Drosophila melanogaster: one gene and its partner. The protein of the gene in region 2 purifies or fractionates together with the protein of the main gene of each other region. This does not show direct contact. Each region holds a gene or a part of one and is shown on either strand. Other genes may lie near its edges.

The links.
Region 1: the proteins of Ptip (region 2) and Usp10 purify together in Drosophila melanogaster (affinity purification with mass spectrometry, with the first as the bait; one large-scale study listed by BioGRID). This does not show direct contact.

What each region holds. Positions count from the first base shown.
Region 1 is NT_037436.4:868,701-877,493, reverse strand, and holds the start of Usp10 (ubiquitin specific protease 10), read right to left. Parts: upstream 4,584-8,793; 5' UTR 4,515-4,583; intron 4,187-4,514; 5' UTR 4,075-4,186; coding exon 3,619-4,074; intron 3,504-3,618; coding exon 2,613-3,503; intron 2,545-2,612; coding exon 2,295-2,544; intron 204-2,294; exon of another isoform or gene 1-203. Other genes in the region: CG12502 (uncharacterized protein), read right to left, coding at 6,898-7,561, 7,628-7,831, 7,893-8,558, 8,736-8,793.
Region 2 is NT_037436.4:14,024,879-14,033,671, forward strand, and holds the start of Ptip (PAX transcription activation domain interacting protein), read right to left. Parts: upstream 4,244-8,793; 5' UTR 3,967-4,243; coding exon 3,892-3,966; intron 3,513-3,891; coding exon 969-3,512; intron 912-968; coding exon 381-911; intron 307-380; coding exon 1-306. Other genes in the region: endos (endosulfine), read right to left, coding at 5,369-5,542, 5,929-6,114; CG6650 (uncharacterized protein), read left to right, coding at 7,350-7,492, 7,547-7,765, 7,855-8,019, 8,079-8,793.

The DNA of each region.
Region 1 (8,793 bases), about 13 Mb from region 2:
CACGCGGCTAAACTAATTAAACAGTATAATATGTACCACAAACAATATTCTAAATCTGTTTTACGCATAAGAACGGGGCAACAAACAGTGAGCAAGTGGGAAACACATCAATGTAACATTTAGAACAATAAGTGTTGAGAAGGAATGAGAAAAGCAGCCAGAATAGTAATAAAAGATATTGCCATAAATTTTAAAAACCGTCGAAACCAATGCGTTTTTGTGGGTGTATCTGGGGTATATGGATAATGGCTTATCAGAAATGAGTTCATTAGAACTTTTCTTCAGTAAGTTTTTCCCTCGTGACCTTCACAACGTTCGGGGAAACCGACAGACATGGACTCAATGGACTGCGCTCTATTTGAATAAGCGTAAGTACTTCTATCAAGAGGTAGCTCGTGAAAGCTCTAGCACAATTATAATCTCCCCGGGGAGCGTGTGCCGCTCTAAAAGACATCGATCAAAAGTTTGCCTTGGACTTAAGTTAATGCATTTATCAAAGAACGTGAAACCCCTTCGATGTCGCGGAAAATCAGATCATAACAAGCTTACTCGTAAAACCCTCGACCCAAATGATTAGCCTAATCAATTTGCCACGATGAGTTATGGCTTCACTAATTGTGGCCGACCAGAGGAATACTGTAGTGTGTATCATTCTCTAGTCAGTGGACAAACACTTGGCGATATCGCCATATGAAAGCCGTCTGCAAAGCCAAGTGCTTCGAAAACAGCCATAAAAGAAAAACCTCTCGACTAGACGGTGCTCGTTGAATCAACGTAGATACAGATACGGTTATGAAAACAACTGGAACCCAATCAGTTGGCAAGACCTCCTCCATTTCGTGAGAGATTCCCAATTCCCATTCCATGTGCATTCAAACACGAGAGGCAATTAAAAAAAAAAACAATTAAATATCTCTAGAATAACCATAAATCAATCAAAATCTTGCAATCTACTGTGTTAATAATCAATGAAGTAATACCTGCACCTATATGCGATTCTGTTTCAACCGCAGCCCAAGAAAACTGGCCGCTGGAAGGGATTAGTAGCCAATCGATCAAATTTCATACAATTCTTTAACTGAAATGGAACCTACAGAATCTACAGTGGTCAAATAGAACCGAATAGATTACCCTACATCTTCTCTGTCCACTTGGCCTTTTGTTTGGTAATTAGGCTTGACAACAGGCAAATATAATACGCCAGGCCAACAGGTTTAGATGAATCCCCCGCATGGGCACATAAAACACTCAATTACGATTGGGAGTGGGAGACGTCCCAACCCGGTATTTTCACTCGGATTTGTCCGCCCATTCGATTGATAAGCGTGAACAATGCACACAAGAAACGAGCAAACAAAATAATAATAACAAAGAACTGGACGGAAGCGACTTGTGCTGCTGATTAGAGAGTGGGTTGTGGATGATTCAGTGGGTGGATGGGTGGTCAACAAGTTCAACACCTGTTGGCGACTACACGACGATAGATGAAAGCCCAGCCCAAAGCAAAAGGGCAACCGAAAACAAAGGTAGGCCTGGCAACAAGCATTCAGAATAATTAAGGCCCACAAACTATGGCAAAATGTGCACACATACGTAAATACGTTTATGTCATTTGACACCTGAGAAGAGTGTAAGGCAACTGAAGAGAATATAGTTAATGAAAGCGTGGAAAAGCAAAGCAAGCAAAAAACTGCATATGAACACGGGACCAGGCGACGCTATCGAAGGCACGCCATGACGAATTCCAATATACTCGTACAACATAGAAAAACTGCCTTTCAATAGATGTAAAGTAACACGAAACGCAGATACTCTGTGCGAAAGTCGTGTTAAAAGTCCACAAAATGATCTCGCTGCCTTTATCGCTGAGCTTGCTCCAAAACAATAACAGGACAAATGCAGAGTTACTTTATAGTTGTGATAAAATATATGGTGATATATATTGAGAGAGGAACACACCACATATGTACAACTAAATCGACTGAAGTTAAGAATTAGTTGACAACAAAAACTCATAATAGTAAGATAGTGAAAAGTCATTGACCCACAACGAGGAGATTATTCAAATACTCATGACTCAGCCAATATACACATTTTTCAATTGGTCTGTGCAAAGTTCTAGTTTTTATACAATTCATAATGATTGATTATTCCTTATCGAGCAACATCGAATGATGCAAGATTATGAACGTTCGGAATGGAAAATGGGAAATTAGACAAAGTGAAACTCAGCTTGCATTATGAATTCCAATTCCCAAATGAATCACTAATCAATACCGAGCACTAGCACTCACCCGTTTGCTCCTGATGTTGTTGTTGCTGCTGCTGTTGGGGAGTGGGTGTTGGTGGCTGCGGAGGTTGCGCCTGAACCAACTGGGCTGGCTGTTCGATTAACAGGGGCGACGTTTGCTGCAAAATGTGATGCGGCGGTGGCGGCAGCAGAGCTGGCTGGACTGCATCCGGAGGGAGGGGCATGGCAGCAGTCCAGGCCACCGGAATAGGGCCTGGTGGCGGTGCTCCGCACTCGGCTAGCTCGTCCTCGTACTATTAACGATAAGAAATGTTTAGTATTGCCATTGTCTTTAGCTTCACGGTATGCCAGGCCCACTTACCTGCGGTAGCGGACCCGCTCCTGGATGGATTGGCTGCAGGGCGGCCATCTGACCATCGTCGAATATCTGCATCACGCCCATTTGGTGCTGCATTTCGTGCATCTGTGGATCGTAGATGGGATAGTTTGGACTGATCATGCTCGACGTCTCCGAGGAGGGCAGGGATGAGCTATTGTGGTTGAGCTCATCGGCTACACTGACAGCACCTCCATTGGGATGCACAGCCACCTGTTGCTGTTGTTGCTGCTGCTGTAGCGCTTCGAAGTCCTCTGCGTACATGGGGCCCTGGTGCCAGATCTGGGTCATTCCGCCGTCCGGCTGAGCTCCACGTTCATCCACTCCCGGCTGGCCAGCGTCTTCGGGTACATACTGGTACTCAGCCGGATGCATCATGGGGTAGATGTACCCACCGTGGTTGAACCACGCAGGATTATACATCAGCGGTCCGGAGATGAAGAGCGGCGTTCCAGTTGCCTGTTGGGCAGCAGTGGCATTGGGGGGAGGCTGCACATTGGCATGTTGGGGTGTGAAGTAGGGAGAGGGATATGGCCCGTAGGCGTAGGTTGGTGGCGCCGCGTAGTACTGCTGTAAGTGCTGCATGTGCGCCTCCGGCGGCGCCAACTGCTGACCAATCTGATCCGGCTGAAGCTGCAGCCCGGGATTGGCTCCGTCCGGCGGTGGCAGTTGCTGCTGCGGCGGAAGGGTGATCAGTTGCTGCTGCTGGAGGTGACGTGGCCCATGGTAGTCATTGCGTCGCGGTCCACCGCCACGGGGACGACCTCGTTCGCGCATCCGTCCGCCACCCATTCTAGGACCATGGGGATTCGGAGATCCGCCCTGGGGCGCCAAATTAATGGGCACAGGCTGCAGGTGCGGCATCACCGTGTTGCCCTGTGTGGAATAACAAGTAAGAAGGTCAGTAATGTAGGTGCTAGCTAGTAACAATGCTTAGTAATTAGCGAAATTATCGAACAGATGTATATAGATCCTGTTCTGTTTCACCCACCTGCTCCTGGGGCATGTCGCCGTGTCCAATGTAGTGATGCTGACCTCCGGGTGGCATATAAGCCGGAACACCGTGCGGCCAGCCATGCAGGTTCACATTGGCAGTGACGTTGTTCACATAGACGTGATTGCTGGGCATCGGAGCGGGGATCATGGCCGGGTAGTGGGCTCCGGCGTGCGGGTGTCCTCCGTGGGCGGACATATAGACGGGTGGATTGTACACTGGCTGTCCGGTTGGAGTGAATGCCTGGACGGGCGTCATCAAGTTGTTGTTCCCGGATGGTGAGACCAGGGTGTTGTTGTGATGGTTGTTGTTGTTGTTGCCATTATTGCCGGGTCCGCTGCTCACGCCAGACGGCTGGGGCGTCGAGGGCGTTGAGATGGGCGTGGCTGCTCCTCCGCCTGCCGCGCCGGAGGATCCCGCCGTCGTGGAAGCCGACGACGACGTGGATGCCATGGCTTTGAGGCCAAAGGTTAGAAACTTGGCTCAAATTCCGGTTGAATGTACTTGCGGATTTAGACGAGTCTCAAGAGTCGCAGCAGGCGCCAAACATTGAAATTGGTTTTTGCTGATCGGAAAGAGAGCGCATAGCAATTGATTAATTAGTACATTAAGGAGATAATTATATAAGACTGGGCAATCAATATTAATTATGCACGCAGTCGAAAGAAGAATACACCATTTATTAGAGTCCCCTAATTAAATTTATTAATATAAAGTATGGGGGCATGAGGGTAATGATTCAAAACAATTTCTATTGACAAGACCAACTGTTGAATACTATGGCTGATTCTACAAATCTTGAGCCGCACGTTTAAATATATCACATCAATAAAGTAACTTCAATTCTAACACTAGCTTATGCAGCTGGAGCGCACAAATTCATTATATTTTACCCGACGCAGGTTAAATTCTAATTAAATGCGATTTTCAATTCACGCCACTCCGCGTGCCGCAGCCAGAAAAGCGATCTGGCAAGGCCGCACAGCTGTGATGAGACGGTGTAATGAGAAAATCAAATAAACAAAGCAAAAGAGACGCATAATTTAAATAAGGCTTACACGGGAATTATCTCAAATGTAGACGCATTATAAATGCATATTTATCAAACAAAACTAACTGCTGCCCATTGCATTTCTGGACATTTTCTGGACGATTTTTTGGTGCCACACGGCGCCCGCTAGAGATGAGTAATTGCGACGATTTGCCGGCTCACGTAAATATCGGTCACGAATGTAACAGGTTCAAAGGGCTCTTTTAATGGGTTTTTCTAGATTAGAAGTTGGTCATGGAAAGTGAAATGACTTCGGCATGGAAGCTGGTCGTTCATCTTGAAAACTACCTGCATTTGACAGACATTCATTGCTGTTCTTTGGGAGTTTTAAATTACTCATCTCTGCCGAACACAACACACATACACCAGCACATGCACGCACTCACACACACGCACACATGCACACACGGAGAGGCAGGGCAAATGGAAGAAATGGGAAAATAACGTTCGCTGGAAGCAAAAAGTCCACGATTCCCTACTAGTTGCCAGGTTTACTTCTTCCGAGTTTTATGTAAATGGAGGAGCCAGGTGTTTGGTGTTATTATTGTGCTAATTTCGTGGGCGCCGGGGCGGGTGTATCGAACGTACCTTTTGTTGAGTGGCCAATTGAAATCAATTTTGCAATTTGATCATATTTTATGCGTGCGGCAATCTCTCTCCTGCTCTCTCTTTCTCCGCGGTGCCACGATAATTCCGCAACTTTTTACACGCTGCTGCTCCAAATTCTGCTGCTTTTGCTGCCACAAATTAACATTGAGGCGGGCAGTTGCGCGGGGTCACAGGTCTCGGGGCACGGGCGAGAGGTCACCGGTTAACACGGCACTCGGCGATCCCTATATTGCTGAGGGCCACAAACGTTTTATTGTTCTCTATTTTTCGGCCGAAAAACCTTCCTGCTCCCAGGGTTGTCGCAATTCGATGACAGTGCGATAATCGTCGGCGCGTGCTATCGATGGCCAGGGTGGCCACCCGCCTGCAACCGATGGCAACGCTGTGGAAAATTGGCGGGTAATTTGAATGCTTGACTATGTTATTAAAACCTATTTCGGACGTATTCGACAATACAAAACACCAAGACTATTATTAGACACACATTGTTTGTTTTTATTTATGCAATATTAAACATGCAATGAACAATTATACAAAAATTCGCTGCACATCAACAGAGATTCGTGTTCGGCCTTCCATTTAAACCAACTCGGGCATTTTGAATTTTCGGATTGCTGTGGGATTTTCAACATCTATTATGGAACGAGAAACATTGTAATTGCATGGATTACAAATAAACACTCAGATATATAATCGTATAGGTACATATAATGCTGTAATGTGGGGATTAACACTGAGAGCGTACAACTAATTATATATGTGCATCGAACTTAATCCGTGTTCCGATTGCTTTTCATTGACTAGTTTTCCATTCGCCATTGACCAATTTTGTAAATCAATTTGCCTAATCAGTCTTTACTATAAGCTGATTGTACTTTTTACAGGGTATGCACAAGTCTGGCATTTATTTGGCCACGCCCTCGTATTTAGATCGTTGTGAGTACACATCCTCGTAGAGATTAGCATTAACATTAACCGATAAATAGTATTGATAACAACGGTACACCCAACGGGACATTTCGGCCCCAGATATGGGATCGTAATAACGTGATATATCTCATATTCTAACAATAGGAAGACTAGTGACGACAGCTGCGATCAAAATAATATCTCTATGTGTTTTCCAACCAACTGCGCTTCCAAGAATAGGCTTTATTTTGATTCAAAAAGATCGTTTGATTTTTCAGCTCTTTGAAATATGAACTAAAAACAACCTTAATCAGTTGGAAAATATGTCTGAAAATAAATCTGAGACTATTGGAGGAAATCTAAAAAAAATGCACACCAATCCTTCTACGTTTCATGCTATAATTATTTCGATCGCAACTGAAGTTATATTTTTAATAACATCAGTTTATCAAGTTAATAGACGTCGTTGAAGTTAGTTCGTTAGTTGATTGCTTAGGCCCGAGGCAACACAGAGATAATTGCTGGTATATATATATATATATATATATATATACTCGTTTAACACTTATCTAGATACGATCTAGGGGTTATAAAAATAAACGACACGCACACGCACAAAAATACATATACAAACATCAATCGAGTTGCTAAAGTAATTGTCGATGGCTGCTGGTTAAACGCTAAGAAGTGGGTGTATCCATTCGATCCTAGGGATCCTGATCCTGGATTGATTCAGTTGTGTGGGAATTGCCCGGCTGTGTCGGAGGCGGGGGTGGAGAAGGCGGGGTACTTGGATGCAACTCATCCGCATCTATTTCGATCTCAATCGAGTTCTCCCGCTCCGTGATCTCCGGCATTTTGAGGGAGAAGCTGCTCAACTTTCGCTCCGCAGATCCCAAGGAGCCCTGGGAGTCGGCTTTCAGCAAAGTGGTCCTCCTCTCGTTGATGACCCTCAGTGAATCGTACCTCTGCTCATCCGCACTGCCACACCCACCGTTTTCAGCCAATCCCCTTTCCATGGACCGTATGTAGAAAACGGAATCATCCCGCTCGTTTGGAACACCTTTCTTGGGCCTGTAGAACTGGCGGGAACTATTGCTCCTGTATAGCGGATTGGCCACTGGCCTCGGATCCTCCTCCTGCTCGCTGCGCGCGAGGGGCAGGAATCCCGGACGAGCCTTTTTCGGCGGCAAGCTGCTCGTGTGGTGCTGCAGTTCGGTGATCTCCTCGTAGGACGCCTTGGGCTGTGTCGTCTCCTCCTGCTCCTCCGACTGATCCAGACTCTCCTCGGGAACGGCTGGCTCCATGCTGGATTGGCCCGACAGCTGGCGCACCGGTGGCGGTGGCTCCGAGCATACAGATAACTGACTCCTGCAAGGAAAACCGAGTTAAAATCTATTTGGGAACTTGATTTGGAGGGGTACAACATGGACATACCGAAACTCCTTCTCCACGGAAGGCGTGGCCGATGGACCCGAGCTGTAGCGCTTGGGCGAACGGAGAATGGATTTGGGCATCACTTCGGGACTATGAAGATCTACTTGAACACGCCGAGACTCGATACTGGATGTTCGACTGGCCATGGAGGCACAGCGAGCCGTCCAGCGGCCGCTATACGAGGAGTCCGACATTGTAGAGTTCCTGTAAGCAATGGTATATGTTATTAGCCAGCTAGAGGAGCTATTGGACACCTTGAACTCACCGCCTGTGTCCCAGCGGACTGCGACTGTGATCCCGTGCCTCCTCCTGCTCGATGGGTCGTTGCCGGGAGAGAACGTGCCGCTTGGCGGTGTCCGACCGCTTGTTCCGCTCACTGCGCTTCTCTGCGCCGGAACTCATGCCCAATCCGGGCGGATGATTACTGCCGCCGTCAAAGGAGGAGGCCTGCCAGTAGACACGACTAGCAGCTGGTGGCTGGAGCAGGGAGCACTCCCTGGTGGCCCTCTGGATCAGGCTGGAGGAATTGCTGATGATCCGGGCCGACGAAGAGGAGCCAGCTCCTCCTCCACCTCCTCCTCCGCCTCCACCGGAGGGTTGCGATCCCGCTCCCAAGCCCGGTCGCACTGGGCGCACCCGCCGCACACTGCTGCTTGAGGATTTGTGGTGGTGGTGGTGGTGGTGGTGCGAGTGGCGGTGATGGTGACGACGGTGACGGCGGTGCGAGCAATACAGTTCCCAATCCAACGGCGACAATCGATTCAGTGAGAGCAAATTGTAGTAATTAGTGGTGACTGTGGTGGTTGGGTTTTGGTGGTTTGTGGCATTGGTGGAGTTGGTGGTATTAGCATGAGCATGGGATCCGGACAAATCCGGAGCGGAACCAGCCCCCGAAAGGCGGCGCCACTGGGGACAAAAGCGATTGGATGCACTGATGGTTGGCGGAAGCGGGATGCGGATGCGGATTTCAGATTTCAGATTTCGGAAAGCGAAAAGCGGGCGGTAAGAGCGAGAAACAGCCAATCGTATAAGTGAATTTTGATATATACATATAATTTGGGTCCTGTTCCCAATGAGGTGATCTCCCCGAAATAGCCCACAACTGTACCTGAGTGACCTGGAGAACTGGACCAGTTCGGCGGTGAGTGCCTCGCGATCGAATGGCT
Region 2 (8,793 bases):
GTACTGCAAGCGCTGTGGATCACTGAGTATTTGCTGGTTAACAACAATCTGCTGCGGCTGCTGCTGCATTTGCATCCTCTGCTGTTGCTGCTGTTGTGGTATAATCTGCTGCTGCTGCAACATTTGTTGTTGCTGCACAAGTTGCTGTTGTGTCTGATTGACCACGTAAACGTTTTGGCTCTGCGGATTTTGGGCTAGGATTTGCTGTTGCTGTTGTACGCTAAGCTGATTAAAGTGCTGCTGGCTAATTATAAAGGTCTTTTGTTGCTGCTGCTGTTGTTGTGGCTGCTGAACTCCAGAAATTTGCTGGTGTGAATCAAACGAAAATTTATTGGGGTAAATATTTAAAAAAAAAGACAAAAAACTAAGAGTAGGCATACCTGCTGTGGTTGTTGTTGCAGCTGCTGTTGCTGGGGAAATTGACCAATAATCTGCTGTTGTTGTTGTTGTGGAACCTGCTGCTGTTGCTGAACATTGGTTGGTGGACGTTGTATGGTTTGTTGAATTATCCGCACTTGACCACCAGCTCCAAGTGCTATTTGCTGCTGTTGTGTAAACTGAACTTGTTGCGGTTGTTGTTGTTGAACTTGGTGCTGTTGCGGAAGCTGTTGCTGCTGCTGTGCCGGTGGCAGTTGCTGCACTTGAGTAATCTGTTGTTGCTGCTGCGGCTGCTGTTGTGCTTGTTGTTGAACGTGCAACAATTGCTGCTGCTTCTGCAAGGCCAAAGACATATGACTTTGAATGATTTGTTGTCCTTGAGCCGTGGATGTGTTTATAACATGGCGCTGAGTGATGACTTGTTGCTGTTGTCCAGGCTGTGGCTGTTGCTGCGTCAGGACCTGCTGTTGTTGCTGCTGCTGTTGTTGTTGCTGCTGCTGCTGCTGTTGTTGTTGTTGTTGCTGCTGTATTTGCTAAAAAGAAGTAATCATTAATTTCCGGTAAAAAATAATATATGTTCTTTATTTTACTTGAGCGTTTTGTTGGTTTGGCTGCTGTTGCAAGGTGGGGGTAGTAGGTTGCTGTTGCAGTGGCGATTGTCGCGGAGAAGGGGTGTGCTGCTGTTGTGGTTGCTGCTGCTGCTGCTGTTGCGGTTGCTGTGCCATTTGCTGCTGCTGGGGCTGCGGTGCCATTTGTTGTTGCTGTTGCATCTGTTGTTGCTGCTTCAATTGTTGCTGCCTCATTATCAACGAGTCCTGATTGCTGCTCAATGCAGATCGACTGAGCACTTGAGCTACCTGAACGGGGTCCGTTGGGTCGATAGGCTTCTGCTGGGAGAATGATTGCTGCGGCTGAGTGGCTTGTCCAGGAACCACCTGATGCTGATGCAGCTTTGCCTGCATGGGTGGAGTTTGAGAAATCTGGGGCGATTGCGGAGAAATATGCTGGGGACTCTGCTGTTGCTGTTGTTGCTGCTGTTGGGCCAATTGTTGTTGCTGCTGCAATTGCATGCGCTGCTGTTGATGGACGGGCTGTTGAAAGGGCTGCATCTGTTGCTGCTGTTGCGGCGACATCATAGATTGTGGTTGAGGTTGTTGTGGCGAGCCCATCATGTGCTGTTGTCGATTCTGTTGCATTTGCTGTTGCTGGCGCAAATGTTGTTGCTGGGCGTTTTGCGGCGAGGGCGGAGGTGGCGGAGTCATTTGGGGAGCTGGGGATTGCAGTTGTCGCGGCGATTGTGGCGGCAACATATTGCTAGTTGCATGATGCTGCTGTTGCTGCAACGATGGGGATGGCGTACTTGGTGGCATTACCGGCGAACGGTTTTGCACCATCCGAGGCGACTGTTGTTGTTGTAGATTCTGTTGCTGTTGTTGCTGCTGCATTTGCATCTGTAATTGCTGCTGCTGCTGCATAACTTGTTGCAGCTGTTGTTGAATTTGTCTCTGTTGCTGCTGCTGTTGCGGCGTCAATGCTTGTCCGCTTTGCACGATTTGCTGCAATTGCATTTGATTCTGGTTCAAAATTTGTTGCTGCCGCATTAGATGTTGGTGTATGATTTGCGGCGAAACCGGCACAGATTGTTGTTGTGGCTGCTGTTGCTGAACAACTTGCTGCTGAACAATTTGCTGTTGCTGAACTATCTGCTGCTGCTGTACCATCGTTTGCTGCTGGCCCACTTGTTGCTGCACCACCTGTTGCTGTTGAACTATCTGCTGGTGGTGCTGAGGGGATTGCACGGGCTGCGGCGTTGTAGATGGTGTACGTGGTGTCTGCCGGCCTGTTGGAGTCGTTGGCAGTCGGGGCGACTGCTGTTGCTGAGGAATTTGTTGTGGATGTTGTTGAGAAAGTTGCTGTGGAAGTTGCTGTGCGATTTGTTGCGGGTGTTGTTGCGCAAGCTGCTGTTGAAGTGGTTGAGGATGCGGCTGTTGCTCCTGCTGCATTAGTTGCATTTGGATTTGTTGCTGTTGCTGAGACTGCTGCGTTGTTTTCATTTGTCTCTGCTGTAGGATATTTTTGATTTGCTGCTGGTTTTGTGGTTGCTGCTGCAGGTTGGCGGGGATAATCTTCTGCTGCTGAATTATTAATTGTTGTTGATGCTGCGGGTGTGGTGCAGGAGTAGGTGCTTGAGGACCACCTTGCTGTAACTGGTGAGGGGATTGTTGTGCTGGCTGTTGGGGTTGTGGCTGTGGGCGCACAAAGACCACCTGCTGCTGTGCGGGTACGGGCAGCTGTTGCTGCTGTATTTGTTCAGCTGAAGCCTGCAGCTGAGACTTAATGCTAGCGATGCTCTTGGCAGCTACGCTGTCCTCGCCAAAGCCAAGGATGTCAGATAGGGCAGAAGTAGCCGTTGCCTGTTGCTGGATAATCTGCTGTTGATGTTGCTGCTGCTGCTGCTGCTGCTGTTGTTGTTGTTGTTGTTGTTGTTGTTGTTGTTGTTGTTGTTGTTGTTGTTGCTGCTGCTGCTGCTGCTGCTGTTGTTGCTGCATCTGGTGTTGGTGCTGCAATTGCTGCTGCTGCTGAATTTGTTGCTGCTGCGTAGCCTGCTGCTTTTGTGTTCGCTGCTTTTCAATGGGCTTCAGCAGTCTCGGATGATACGTCTCCACGGGCATGCAGTTTTTGTACTTAAGGCTATCTGTCACCCAGTCGGGCGTCACAATAATGATGGCATTCTTGGGCAGGGCCAGCGCCTTGTTGTAGATGCCACCGTTGGCTGCACCGCACACCAGATGCGTGTTGGTGGCCCCAAAGCTGTGCGTGACTACGGCACCGTGGTATGTCAGCATGGCGTAAAGACGCCTTCGATCCCCTGCCACTACATTGGTGATGGCCACCCGAATGCCGCGCATCAACCGCATTTGATTCGGACTCGGGTCGAAAGCCCGTGTCGAGGCCATTCGGCCTAGCTTGGCGCTGTGCACGATCCATTGCTCCGTTACGGGAATTGCACTGTAGAGGTCCAGGTTCATGGACAGCTCCTCCTCGTTGTAGTTGGTGGCGCATATCATGTGGGTGATTTGGTCCGACAGGAACAGTTTCGATTGAGCGCCACCGCTCTTAAGAAAGCGTTCGATCTGCAAGGCAAAGGCATAATAATTATTTATTACATTACTTGATTTAAACAGTATATATAAAAGATATATGTATGTGACCAAATAAGAATTCTTTTTTCAAGGGTGCCAAATATGTTGCTTCCGTTGGTAGAGGAGAACCAAAACAAAAATCAGTTGATTTAGCACCAATACAAACTCCAGTACACAAACACACAAACACGGCAATTTGCCGGCAACTTTTATGGCGCGCATTTGCCAAGGTGCCCGGGTTACCCTGTCCGCCCGCGCTCCAACCCACCCTGTGAGACGCACGCACACCCGCTCACACAAACACACACACACGTACGCACAATGCAAGTACAGCAACAGCAAACGAAAGATTCGCTTTGCAGCTTTTTACCTCCTCGTCCAGATTTCCCAGCACAAAGTATATCACATCCTCGAACAGTTTGTCGCTTATCTTGAGGTTCTCCATGGCGCCGCCGTTTGTTTGACCACTTGCACTTCTCTGGCGGCGCTAATTTCACTTTTGCTTTTGTTATTGCTGCTGCCGCGGCTGCTCGTGGGCATCTACATTGCAGCGTGTTTTCTCGTCTTTCCGCTGATCTTGGCCATTTGCGAACTTCGAAAAACGGTGTGCGATGCGGTGCTTATCGCGTAGCACATAACAAATGCAATTTGGAACCGAAAAATTGCATTTAAAGATCACTTTTTCTCTTTTATCACCGCTGCGCCTTCCGCCTAGAGTTGGTACAAAACACTGTTTATGCGATACTATCGATAGTTCCAGAAGTGTGGCAATATGGATGCTTAATCTGCTGGTATCGATTGGTGGAAAACTTGGATATTTGATTGATTTCATTTGTACTGTGGTCCAAAAAGCGATTTTATTGGTTAAAACTTTTTTAATTGGGCCTAAAACTCACTTTGCAAGTTCGATTAACTTTTAACTAAAACACGATGTTCGTATGAAAATATATGAACCCATCTATTTGTATTAAATATTGTGTATTTCCCACCTATTTTGGTGATTTCATTTCGTTCCCGTCCAATTTGAACAACCAATTACCATACCACACCGCTCGAAGGAACGTTTCCTAGTTAATTAGACTCCACTCCGGGCACTTATAATTTAAGTAAACATTTGTATGGCACATTTCCGATTCAGTTGTTGGGTTAGCGCCCCAGGAAATCAACACATTTATAAGTATACGTACATACATTTATTTTAGCTCTGCTTGATTTACAAATTCATTTTAACTCGACTGTTTGGTTTTTGCATCAAAAATTTAGCTCTGCAAGCAGCAGTACCTATGTTATTATCAATTAGTTGGTGAAATTCCGTCAACTGCTTATAGAATGAATGCAAAAAAAAAAATATAAAAACATTTTCCATAGAACATGGTGAACTTTTAAAAACTTTTGATGGAATCCCAGTAATGTACGAGAACGTGTGTGTGTGTGTGGCTGGCTGCTCCAACTTAAATTTATTATGCTCGTAATACTTACAACTATGTACGACGAGGGTAAGTTAGTTTAATGTTACAAAGATAGAGATATATATAACTGTTGCAATAAATTTCGCGCTGCTCGGCTCGCCATCTTCGCTTCCCCGGCCTGAGAGATGGACTGATGAGTTGATCTTGAGATTGATTGGCCAGTGCGGATGGCGATTGAATTTAACGGGGGAAACACGGAACATGGTGCTAGAATTTCAGTTTAAACTGTCGCGAAATGCCCGCACAATCCGGCAGCAGCCATCTTAGCATTAGGTTTTTCATTAAAATTAGGTATAGAGCATTTGAAGTGGGGAACGGAGAACTGGCTGCACTTGAGGTTGTGGATACAGTAGAGGTGAGTGTTGAGTGGTGAGTAAATTAGCTCGTCGCCGGGAACTTGTTACAGGGTTGGATGATCGAAGTCTTGCGCGCCGGCACGGTTTCGGGCGTGGGAATGGCCTCCCCGGTGGTCACCTTGTTGGCAAAGACCTGCTTGACGCCGCCACCCTTCTGCTTGGCCATCTGGTAATCGCCCGAGTCGAAGAACTTTTGCTGTGGGAAGGATATGAAGGAATACATATTAGATTTCTCTTATATAATCAAATAGCTTTTTAGAACTAAAACGGAGATATCTTCCAAATGCAAACTTAATGTAACAATCTGATTTCGTTTACCAGATCATCAAGTTGATATAAACTATGCGCTGTGATTATTGAGTTTCATTGATTTCAGAAAGCAATTGCCAAATAGTATGGATCTTAGAATAGAGGAAACATGAATTGTTATTTTCCTTTAAACAACGGGTACTAAATACTACTAAATAATATTATTATTATTATTTTTAATTGATATTCATATTACAGGGTTTGGGTATCCCCGAACACCGAAAGTTAGTAAACTTATTGTTTGATTGTTTTCGAATTGTGCTAATCACTTACCCCCTTCTGCAGCCTTTTCTGGAGGAAGGCCGAGTGTCCGCCCGGCACGCGCATTCCGCTGGGATACTTGGACTTGAGTTTCTCCTCCTCGATCTTCTCGAGATCCGTGAGGTTAGCCTGCTCGGTGGTCTCGGTGTCCTGGGGCGTGGTGGCCGGGCTGTTGCTGTTTTCTTCCGCGGAGCTCATTGTGTGCTGCCTACGGGTGATAGTACTGGGATTAGCCAAGGTGCGACAATGGCGACACGGGAGAACTTAAATGGCAAAAGGAGGGGGAGGCGGCGGAATTGCAGAGGGGCAGCGAAAATCGGAGGCGCGCAAAATGCCAAGAGAAAATTGCATTTCATTACACACACACACAGACACAAACGCGCTAGGCTCGCACAAACACTGGCACGTAAATCCAGGGCAGGCGCACGCACACTTGCTAATATATGTGGACGCGAAATATTATAGTAATAATCGGATGTGCAAATATTGTTTTAATTTTTTATATACACCAACCACTACGCAGGCGATAAGGCTTGTGTGTGCGTGCGTTTGCTCGTCGATGCGGTTGTTTGTGTGCAAGGCGTAGTTGCTCACCTTTTGCCTGTAAAATTTGACGATTAACTGTTGTTTTCCTTCTCCTTTTGTTCTTCACCCGTCTATCAGTGTGTCTCCTTCCCTGGAATCGAATCGGTTTTGCCAATTAGCGTGCCGACTTAGCGGAGAGTGCTGCTATTCGCTAACGATTCCGGCAAATGATGTGCTGTTCGACTAAATCAGGCTGTTACACGAGCTATGTATTTGGTGTGTGGAGAGTGACTGAAATTCCCAAGGCGACTCAATTGTAAAATTATTTTATCACTTTACAGACGCAAGACTGTCTTCGATAGCAGAAGGCGTTATTTCGGAACATATCGTTTATCGAAACTACAGTTGCTCAATACTGAACTGTCCAGCTTCGAGTAGCTGTGGCTCAAACCATTGTTGTCATCGATAAGCAATTGCAATTTTATTTGTTTGCTTAAAAAATTAAAATATAAACTACGAGGATCAAATAAACATACATATTCCCAATATGTTAGCGAAAAAATATGCTCAAAAAAAGATGTTTAAACACAATGTAAGCTGTTCTATGCATTGAACAAATTAACACATTGAGAGGGCGCTCTTATAAGTGCACATTTCAATTTAAATTTATTTTAATATATTCAAATATAGTATAGCAGTATAGCATTCAAATGTAACTGTTGGTTGGACTATCGCTGTAGTCCAAGAACTGCAGATAGTGTCATCGCTAGCTTTGAAGCATCTCAAAGGAAAAAGAGCGATAATTCTGATAAGAAAGTTGGCGTAGCCGGAAGGCGGATTGTCACATACAAAATAGTTTGGAAAGCCCAAACTGAGGCGAACCAATCACACAACAATCCACGCCCACAATGACCGCCCTGCGATACATGGGATGGATCACCGGCTGTTCCGTCCTAACGGCCTTTGTTTCCATAATTTGGCAGGCATTCATCGCCCTGCAGACGCTTAACAGGACGACTGTCCTGCTCACCGGTCTCCTGGCAATCGAGGGGTGAGTTCATTCGGCTACACTGCAGCACTAGCTATATATGCATTTGTATTTCAGATCCCTGAAGCGGACCGCGTTGGAACCGGCACCCAAGGTGGCCATCGGCTACGGAGCCTGCACGGACTTGCAGATAAACGCCACTGAATTTCTGGATCGCTACTATGGGCGCCGGATTCCAGTCGCAGCAGCCACTACAGGATCTCGGGCGGTCGTGAACAACGAGGACGAGCTCTTGCAGTCCTTTGCCTATTACTTTCAGAACGGCGCTGCAGCGGAGTAAGTTGCATGGAAGGATCTTGGATATCCAATATTTTATTGGCTATGCAAGTTACTAACAAAGTATTTCATACTGGTCCACTTTTCAGGCGAGTGATGGCAAACAGTACCCTCTTCACACAGCTGGTGGGCTACGCCAAGGTGATGGACAAGGAGAGGATCAATTGGTACATGGGTGGTAACGCCCCACTGATGGCCGTGCGCTTTTTTATGGAGGGAGCTCAAGTGCTACTGGGCGCCCACATGTCTAGAAAGTAATTACCTATCTGAATAACAAATTATTTCATGGAACTTAATGTAAAAACTTCTTCAGGCTGCGGCCACTGCTGCCAAAGGAGATTCGTCTGGCTGGTGACGAGATTCCAAACGATGACATCCATCTTATTCTGGAGTACAAGGCTGGTGACAAATGGGGCCCATATGTGGCACCTCGCGCCAATCGCTACATTCTGCACAACGATCGAAATAATCCGCATCTGCGGGCCGTGGAGCAGTTGACGGATGCTTTGAAGATGTATCAGCCACAGCTGTTGGTTGTCAGCGGGCTGCAAATGATGGACATGTTCACCTTTAAGTCTGGTGAGCGAGAGGCGCGCCTGCAGCAAGTACAAAGGCAACTAACCAGCCAGCCGCAGGGCACTCTGAACCACTTCGAGATGGCTTCTTACGTGGAGTTGCAGCTGCTTCAACAGCTTCGACACTTTGTACTGCCCTACGTAGACTCCCTGGGAATGAACGAACAAGAGCTCTCTAACCTGCAGCAGGTTCTTGCTCACGGACGGACGACCTTAGCCACCGACTGGAATCCGCGCATAGCTCACACCCTTGACCAGATGCGGCAGGTTTTCATTAGTCTCCTTGAAGATTACGAAGACCGAAGCTCAAGCGATGCCAAGCGTCGCTCTATCTCGCGCATACATGTGCACACGTTGGCCTATCAGGCGATCCTTACCACAGCGGGCTCCAAGTGGAAAAACACACGTGCTGCCGCTGCAAAGGCAGCGCTCACTGCTCACCGATACGTCTGC